Bombyx mori: one gene and its partner. The protein of the gene in region 1 purifies or fractionates together with the protein of each later gene. This does not show direct contact. Links are inferred from orthologs where the notes say so. Each region holds a gene or a part of one and is shown on either strand. Other genes may lie near its edges.

Region 1 (4,242 bases):
CAACAAATATTAGGTAATCCAACAAATGTTCCGCATGGCATCAATTACAAAGCAAATTTCTAACTTTACAATTATGATATTAGATTTGGAGTTAATCGGCAAAGATTACTGCTTTAAATAGGTTTGGGAAAAAGCTCTGGAAAGCTCTATTTTCACTGTTTTACTCTTTGTAGCCATCGTGAAGACTATAATGACCACTACTACATTTAAGTAGAAATACTTCAACCTATTTGGAAGAAGTCGAAAAGAAAAGGAGAAAATGGAAAAATTTTCATTATTTCTTTTCTTTTTTTACTTCCTCCAAATAAGTTGAAGTCTTCTATATAAATGTGTTAGTGGCCTTTTTATTCGCCATAATGTCGCCACGCTGTATGAAATCTCATTATTTTATTAAAAATTTTTATTTTGTAGTAAGGGAAAAATATTTAAAATTTTCAACAAATTTGGAAATGTTAACAATGCGGTAGATATTGTTTCTGATTGCGTAACATCCTCTTGAAGCACTGGTCATTTACCTGAAATCGTTATTGGTTGTTTTGTTTGAGGAATATCTGATGATAGCTTCTATAAATGCGGGCTTTACGATCGAGATACACTTTTACATATTAATATCAGTCTCCTGTGCTGATTATGATTCTCGTTTTTGACTAGATGCGACCGGTGTAGGGTGGCTTTAGCAACGGTTTTACAGAGTCATCTTGTAAAAAAATTTGAAAGGTATTGGATGAATCTTTGGACACAAAAAATCGTCGTTCTGTGTGGTGGGAAGTTGGATTTATTTAAGCCATATTTTATTAAAAACGCCACTAGGTACCACATCTAGGTAGTGAACTTTTTAGTTGCTACGCATTAACAAGGTGAATGAAGTATCGTTACTAGGCCACAAAAGTAAAAAAAGAAAGTTAATAAATTTTTTAGCGTTTCAGGTTTAGAACTTAGAACGGTGTTATGTTTGTTGTTCTTATTGGGCGGTTCTATTTGAAGGGATCGGGTTCTGGAGGTGAGAAGCTGTTTAAAAACACTTTGCTTCATGGTTAACATATATTGCAAACACACTGTACACTATTAAACCATTACAATATTTTATTTTTATAAAATCCTAAGATGCTGCACTGTCCGTGTCTAGATGAGAAGTCTTTGTCTTCACTGAAGAGAAGACAATCATCTGTTTTAAATATTTAAATAAACATTCCAATATACGAAAACTGTAATCTTACATGTGTCAAGTGTTGCCTGCCATTACTTACATATTCAAATTCCAACAGTTCATATACGAAATGTAGGTATACCATAGGGTATTTTTCAGGCCGTCGTTGTTTCTCATGAGAAATAATCTTAGTGGCTACGTTAAATATTTTCCTAATTCTAAATATCACGATATTTTTATCACAGCTCACAAGCCGGAACTAATCATAGATGATACACCATGTGTCACCTAGCTACTCTCAATTTGAAACTAATCTGTGAAGTACACATTGTGCCATAGATTATACACTTAATTGTGCTTTGTGCGACAAGATGGGTAAGCTTCATAATTTTTGAAATAGAATTTAAACATTTATTTAATTTTGATTGCGTCGACTTCATAAACGCTGATGCTCGAGCCTACTTAGAATTAGAATGCTAAAATCAATATGTTAGGTTCATACATTAAAATTCAATTTTGTTTATGTTTTGCTTGCTCGTTTTTCACAGAAGATCGAGGTCCAGCTAAGAGAAAAGTAAAACCAGTAGAGCCTCAATCGTTGCTAGATTTTGACCTCGAAGAAGGCGAAAGCTCAGATGATTCTGACTTTCGTATTGAAGATCATCCAGAAGAGAGTGATGATTATTCCATCAATAGTGATGATGACGATAAAAGTAAGTGGCTTGTAAAGTATTTTTTATAAATTATTCAAAACGCCTCCTTTAATTTGTTCTTCTTGTTCAACCTTAAGTCTCCCAATGGGGAGTAGGATCTTATTTAATGGATAAATATGTGATTTCGGATCCTTTCGTGTCGTTCATGGTGCTTTTAGGCATTCCAAGCACTGGTCACCGTTCACGTCGAACCCGTCGTATGCGATGAAGAGTTCCTTGTGAAAATGGACCCACAGACAGCTCATTGAGTTTCTCACCAGATCTTCTCAATGGGCCGCAATTCCTATCTGGTGGAATATTTAGCAAAGCACTGCTTTTGTTAGGACAGATGTTAGTAAAGTCTCCCAGGCTGAGGCCTGTGAGCTTGCTACACGTTCAGTGAAGCTAGCATCTTGAAGTTGCTAGTAATAGGTAGGCAAAAAAAGAGTCTAAACACATTATTTTATTTACTCCCCTGGGATTGTATAGAGTATGAAAAGAATGCTTCTGAAGAGGAAACTGGATCAGATGATGATGACTTCAAAGGGTCTAGCAATAAGATTGGAGAAGAAGCTTCAGCTATAGATGTTCTTGAGAAAGCTAAAAAGCATGAGTTTAAGGTAATTAGTATGTTATAATATATAATGTAAAAAAAAACTTTTATTGAATTCAAAATTTGAAAATACTGGCTATAAAAGAGTTGATCATGAGTGGTAGAAAATATCCAGGGAATATAGATCTATGGTCAGATGAAATTAGAATAAAATTTTATGATAAAAAATATAAATTATTAGTATTATAGTTAAATTTTAAAGATTAATTAACTTACAGTTTTAGCTTTTAAGACTATTACAATCTTTTTTTAGAGCCAGACAGCAAAACATAATGATTCACCTAATTATGTTTTAGATTTAAAAAAATCGTACTATATTTTTTCTGTAAAGTACTATTAAATTTTCATTGTATATGAATACCTTACCAATATGTTGCTATGTAGTTTCCAGGTGAACTAGCTAATCTCTTGATTTGTGCTGGGTGCCTAGGCTCTCGAAGTGATGACTTCAATGAAATTGTTGAGTGTGATGGTTGTGGTGTTACTGTTCATGAGGGTAAATAATTTAGTTATTTTTTGCACACATATAAACTCATCAAATAATTCTATACTAAATATGAACAAAAAAGTGAAAATTATTTTATTGATTCATTCTACAGCCACCAGCCGGTCTAGTATAATTAATATATAAAAAGAGCATTATTGCTTCTATTATAAATTGATTCCAGTACGGCTAACTTTTATGACAATGGATAAAATTATTCAGACTGTATTTATAAACCCCTTGTCTTCAATGCTCATGCTTAAATTTTTTAAATTACAGGTCATTGATTATAATTGAAAGTTAACTTAATCTACATACATTTTTTTAAAGTATTCCAAATCAATTTTAGTTATTAATACATTTCAGGCTGTTATGGTGTTTCTGATGTGACTAGTGAATCAAGTACAGTTAGTTCAGCATCTACTGAACCATGGTTTTGTGAAGCTTGTAAGGCTGGTGTCACCGATCCCAACTGTGAATTATGCCCTAACAAAGGTACAAATTTTAATTGTTTGTTGATAGAAACAAAGTTTCGAAACTTACATTTATGTTTCACTCACAAGCTAACTATACAATGATTATTCTGTTAAATTCTTGATTGAATTACGTTGATTCTTGAGACCACTGAATAGTAATTTAAAAAAAGAAATTTGTACATTTTGCTGGACTTATTTCATTTCATCTCGTAAAGTAAATAGATAAATAATAAATAAAACAACAGGTGGGATTTTCAAGGAGACTGAAGTGGGTGCTTGGGTGCATTTGGTTTGTGCACTCTACGTCCCTGGGGTTGCATTTTCAGAGGTAAGTTATAAATAAATATTTACCATAGTGACATATTATTTTAAAAATTCTTCGATTTAAAATAAATCTTCTTTACTAATAAAATTTGAATGTTCCAGCTAGTAAATTAAATCCCAAATTACCTTAGAAAAGTGGAGATGATGTTTTTTATTTCAGGTAGAACGTTTATCAGGTGTGACTCTTTTCGAAATGGCTTATTCTCGTTGGGGAGCACGTTCTTGCGCACTATGTGAAGACGTGACTCTGGCACGTACAGGAGTGTGTGTGGGATGCGATGCTGGCTTGTGTAAAACATTCTTCCATGTAACTTGGTAAATTAATTTAACTTTAATTATTACTTGTAACAGTACAATGAGTAAAGAGCTTGCAAGATCATTATAATCTTATAAATTTATATATATTTTTGATAAGCATAATTCGCCCATTCCCCTGGTTATAATATTATCAGACATATTTAAATTTAAATATTTGACTATAGTGAGGTCAATTTGGGGCTGATAGT
Region 2 (4,126 bases), on another chromosome or scaffold:
TAAAAGTTGCTACACTGATTTTATAAAGTTGTCGTTTGTCGCAAAACATAAAGATATGGCGTAGTTCAAGCCATCAGCCCATTTCTAGCATGCTAAATGTTATCGTATTTTGAGTATGTGTTTTTCTTAGACTATAACAATCTATTTTAATTGTTTTGCTGACTCTAAAGTCCGTAACATACTACCGCAATGCACCCCAAGGAAGGTGCGCCGCACCATTTGAATCACTTTCGCTTGAGAGTGATTCAAATTTTAAACTTATCAAGGGACCGCGTGAAAAAAAAAACACCTACAGAACATTTATTCATTAATTACAAACGTCATTCCTTGTGACTTCCTCTCTAAAATCACTTAATTATTAAATATTTAACAAATTTACAATAGTGTTTTACTCACTGCGGAATAAAACTATTTTAGTTAAATAGTTCCGAAGAGATTTTGTCGGTAACCTTTTTCCCGAAATATCTAAACAGAATGTCTAAATATGTTTTGATGACATATTTTAAAGTGGTATTTATGATTAGTGTCATGATGAATAGATTATTAAGTGTATAATCTATGGTGTCATGATCAATAGATTCCGACCGAAAAATGGATTTTTCGGATGAGGGCTCCATAATGAATTTAAATACATATAGATAATAGTTTTAGGGCATCGACTTTCTTGAGATCCTATAAAATACGTTTTAATTATTATTTTTGTATGTTTTAAGCATGATAAATTATGAAATTTTATATAATCAATCATATTAAATCGATATCAAAGTCAATAAATAATGTACAACCCAAAACAGACGGCCGAACTGACGTGACAATGACATTTGGCGCGCTAAACATGGCGGATTTTCGGCCTCATTAGACGGAGACGGAGATATTTACGTATATTCATGTTTCATTTTATGTACGCACTGAAATACTGTTATATTGTTTTCCTGCGAGTTAAAGTGCTGAGTAAGAACGAGATAGATATATGTTTATGTATGTGCCTTCAAAATGGGTGCTATTTATATAAGCAATTGTACGTATAGAACAATATGTCGTGTCCCTACTATATAGGTCTATGGGATATATTCACTTCTCTGTCTCTCTATCTCTCTCTTACATTTGACTCATATCAATTAATTATTAATATTAAAAGAAAATCAGTTAAAAATAAAAAAATCAGGTAAAATATTAATCAAATTATATATGGAAATTACCTATGCTGAAGCTTAGTTGGGCATTATGCCGCATAATGCGCTCTTGTGCTGTGATTGGAAAACAGGGGATAAATTCAAATAAGACTTGACCTAAAGGTCTTAGTTACCAGATCGTAAAATCCCTTAAAAAAGTTAAGTGTTTAATCTATGGTGCTGAGGGTTTTGCTTTGTTTACCTATCTATACCTATTTTCTACTTAGTTTAAACCAAAATCCGATATTAAAGTGTTTAAGTATAGTTATTGTATTGTGTTGGATGTATTGAAGTAAAACAACAATGGAAAGCGATTCTTTAAAATCGGACGTTGTAAATACAGTGAATTCAGAAGTGCAGCCTATTAATATTGAAAAAGACCCGAAACCTGTGACCACTGACTCAAGCTTGACTCAAGTGCCTATAGTATCTAATGTTCATGTGCTTGCTGAAACGCCCGTTGCGATTGACACGGCGGGTGCTTTAAAAGAAGTTCCAAAAACATCACCTAAAAAGCCCAAAAAAAGAAAACCCAAAGCAGCTCGCGATACAACTGCACCCCGTCAACCTCTCACAGGTTTAGCTCTTATTTTAGATGTCTTATTTTTACTTAATTCCTTATTAAAATCTTTTATTTACAATTTTAAGACAAACGAATATTCATATTTAAGGTTATGTAAGATTTTTAAATGAGAGAAGAGATCAGTTGCGAGCACAACAGCCAGATTTGGGTTTTGCAGAATTGACCAGACAGTTAGCTAGCGAGTGGAGTAGACTTCCAGCTGAAGAAAAACAACAATACTTAGATGCTGCAGATCAGGATAAAGAAAGGTTAATCATTAATCAAGTACCTAATTTAAATTTCATGAGATGTAAATAATATATATTTGAAATTATTTTAAATACGAATAGTGTATTTTAAATTAACAGATATGTTAAAGAATGTGCGGAATACAAAAGAACAAATGCTTATAAAGAGTTCACAAAACAACAATCTGATCTGCAAGATGGTAGCTTATCAAAGAAGTTACGGCAGGTTCCTCAAGTAGACGCTTCAGTTTCTGGTAAATCCAATATTCTTTTAAAATTTTCTTTTTTCTTTTCTTTTTACGAAGTCGTCGTGGCCTAAAGGTTAAGACGAATGGTGCATTTGTATCGAGTGATGCACCGGTGTTCGAATCCCGCAGGCGGGTACCAATTTTTCTAATGAAATACGTACTTAACAAATGTTCACGATCGACTTCCACGGTGAAGGAATAACATCGTGCAATAAAAATCAAACCCGCAAAATTATAATTTGCGTAATTACTGGTGGTAGAACCTCTTGTGAGTCCGCACGGGTAGGTACCACCGCCCTGCCGATATCTGCCGTGAAGCAGTAATACGTTTCGGTTTGAAGGGTGGGGCAGCCGTTGTGACTATACTGAGACCTTAAAACTATATCTCAAGGTGTGTGGCGCATGTGCGTTGTAGATGTTTATGGGCTCCAGTAACCACTTAACACCAGGTGGGCTGTGAGCTCGTCCACATATATAAGCAATAAAAAAAAAAATCAATAGAGAACCATATAATCCATAAAAAATATTAGGCGCAACAATTTCTCAAAAACAAGACCAAGCATACGTCTGGTATTACGATCTTGCATGAAGAATCTAGCACATTAGTTTGATGGTTAGGACAGCTGTTATACAATACAATTGTAGTAGCATTTAGACATCCATGTTTACGTCTCTAGCCATATAAACCTACATGAGCCGTGAGCTCATTTGCTCTTTTTATAAAGAAAATAGTGCCATTTGTACCTTACATGAGATTAATTCATAGTAACATTAATATTAAATTCAGTTTAAGGGGAGCTCTTTAAGCATTCATACAGATAGGCATTACATGCTTGCAAAACTAGATGTTGTAATACAATGTTAAAAAATGTTGAATATTGAAGTACACTAAAATTTCACTATTACGTAATATATATATAAAATTAATCCAGCAACTTATTTGATGAAAAAAGTGCTTTGACAAAAAACTAACAATACTTACACTTACTCTTATAGGGGGTACCCAACCAGGAGAAAGTACAGTGTATAGTGCTTCTACAACAAACATGTCTTCACGTCAGACTACCCCACCAAGACCAAGACCATGTATTAATCCTACATCTGTAAGTTCTGCAGTTTATATTGTCAGCATAAAAAGCATAAAGAATTGTTGAATACCTACTTAAATTCAAATTGGAAGGTAAACAAAGTTTTGTAAAGTAGTAAATTTATTGTTACAGGGTGAAATGGAAATACCAATCTTCACAGATCAATTTCTGCAACATAACAAACTGAGAGAATCTGAGTTAAGACAATTAAGAAAGGCAAATTCAGATTACGAACAGCAGGTAAATGGAGCATGAATGGTCCAGCAGCTTTCTATGAGTATTTAATAGCATATTATGATGACTGACTGGCACTCACTGGTACCACCATCTTACCTATTTGGTAGGAGCTAGTGGTCATGGACTCTTGTTTGAAAGATAGAACTTCAGCCATATTTACAATTTTCAAGATGGGTGTTGTTATTCACTTCTATGTCTCTCGGCTTCCTATTTGTTGACAGATGGCCTGTCCTACCAAAAAATATGTACACCACAATATTTATTGTTATTTATACTTCAATCTTACCAAGCACTAAAATGGTGCTTATATAGATAATGATTAAAAATTTTATACATATTTTGTACTTACATCAGAATGCAATCTTACATCGTCACGCAGAAGAGGTAAGCGGCGCTACATCGAAACTCAGAGCTGAAACAGCTGCAGCAGCTGAAAGGACTGCTGCTTTGCTTGCTCATAAACGTAGTCTGGTCGCAGCCTTAGTGCAAGGTCTTCAGACATTAGCTTTACCAGGTAGTCAATGTGTAATTATTCAACACTAATTTTATTGAGTAAATTGTCATTTTATGT

Evidence for each region.
Region 2: the proteins of PHD finger protein 14 (region 1) and high mobility group protein 20A purify together in Homo sapiens (affinity purification with mass spectrometry; 3 studies listed by BioGRID and IntAct, counting the BioPlex papers as one, with this or other methods). This does not show direct contact. The link is inferred for Bombyx mori from reciprocal best matches to the Homo sapiens genes PHF14 and HMG20A.

What each region holds. Positions count from the first base shown.
Region 1 is NC_085115.1:7,808,776-7,813,017, forward strand, and holds the start of PHD finger protein 14, read left to right. Parts: upstream 1-1,442; 5' UTR 1,443-1,518; coding exon 1,519-1,522; intron 1,523-1,695; coding exon 1,696-1,860; intron 1,861-2,328; coding exon 2,329-2,459; intron 2,460-2,836; coding exon 2,837-2,948; intron 2,949-3,302; coding exon 3,303-3,431; intron 3,432-3,657; coding exon 3,658-3,740; intron 3,741-3,896; coding exon 3,897-4,051; intron 4,052-4,242. UniProt on the Homo sapiens protein: Histone-binding protein. Binds preferentially to unmodified histone H3 but can also bind to a lesser extent to histone H3 trimethylated at 'Lys-9' (H3K9me3) as well as to histone H3 monomethylated at 'Lys-27' (H3K27ac) and trimethylated at 'Lys-27' (H3K27me3).
Region 2 is NC_085114.1:10,481,919-10,486,044, reverse strand, and holds the start of high mobility group protein 20A, read left to right. Parts: upstream 1-1,326; 5' UTR 1,327-1,475; coding exon 1,476-1,749; intron 1,750-1,843; coding exon 1,844-2,003; intron 2,004-2,102; coding exon 2,103-2,236; intron 2,237-3,226; coding exon 3,227-3,333; intron 3,334-3,450; coding exon 3,451-3,558; intron 3,559-3,909; coding exon 3,910-4,069; intron 4,070-4,126. UniProt on the Homo sapiens protein: Plays a role in neuronal differentiation as chromatin-associated protein. Acts as inhibitor of HMG20B. Overcomes the repressive effects of the neuronal silencer REST and induces the activation of neuronal-specific genes.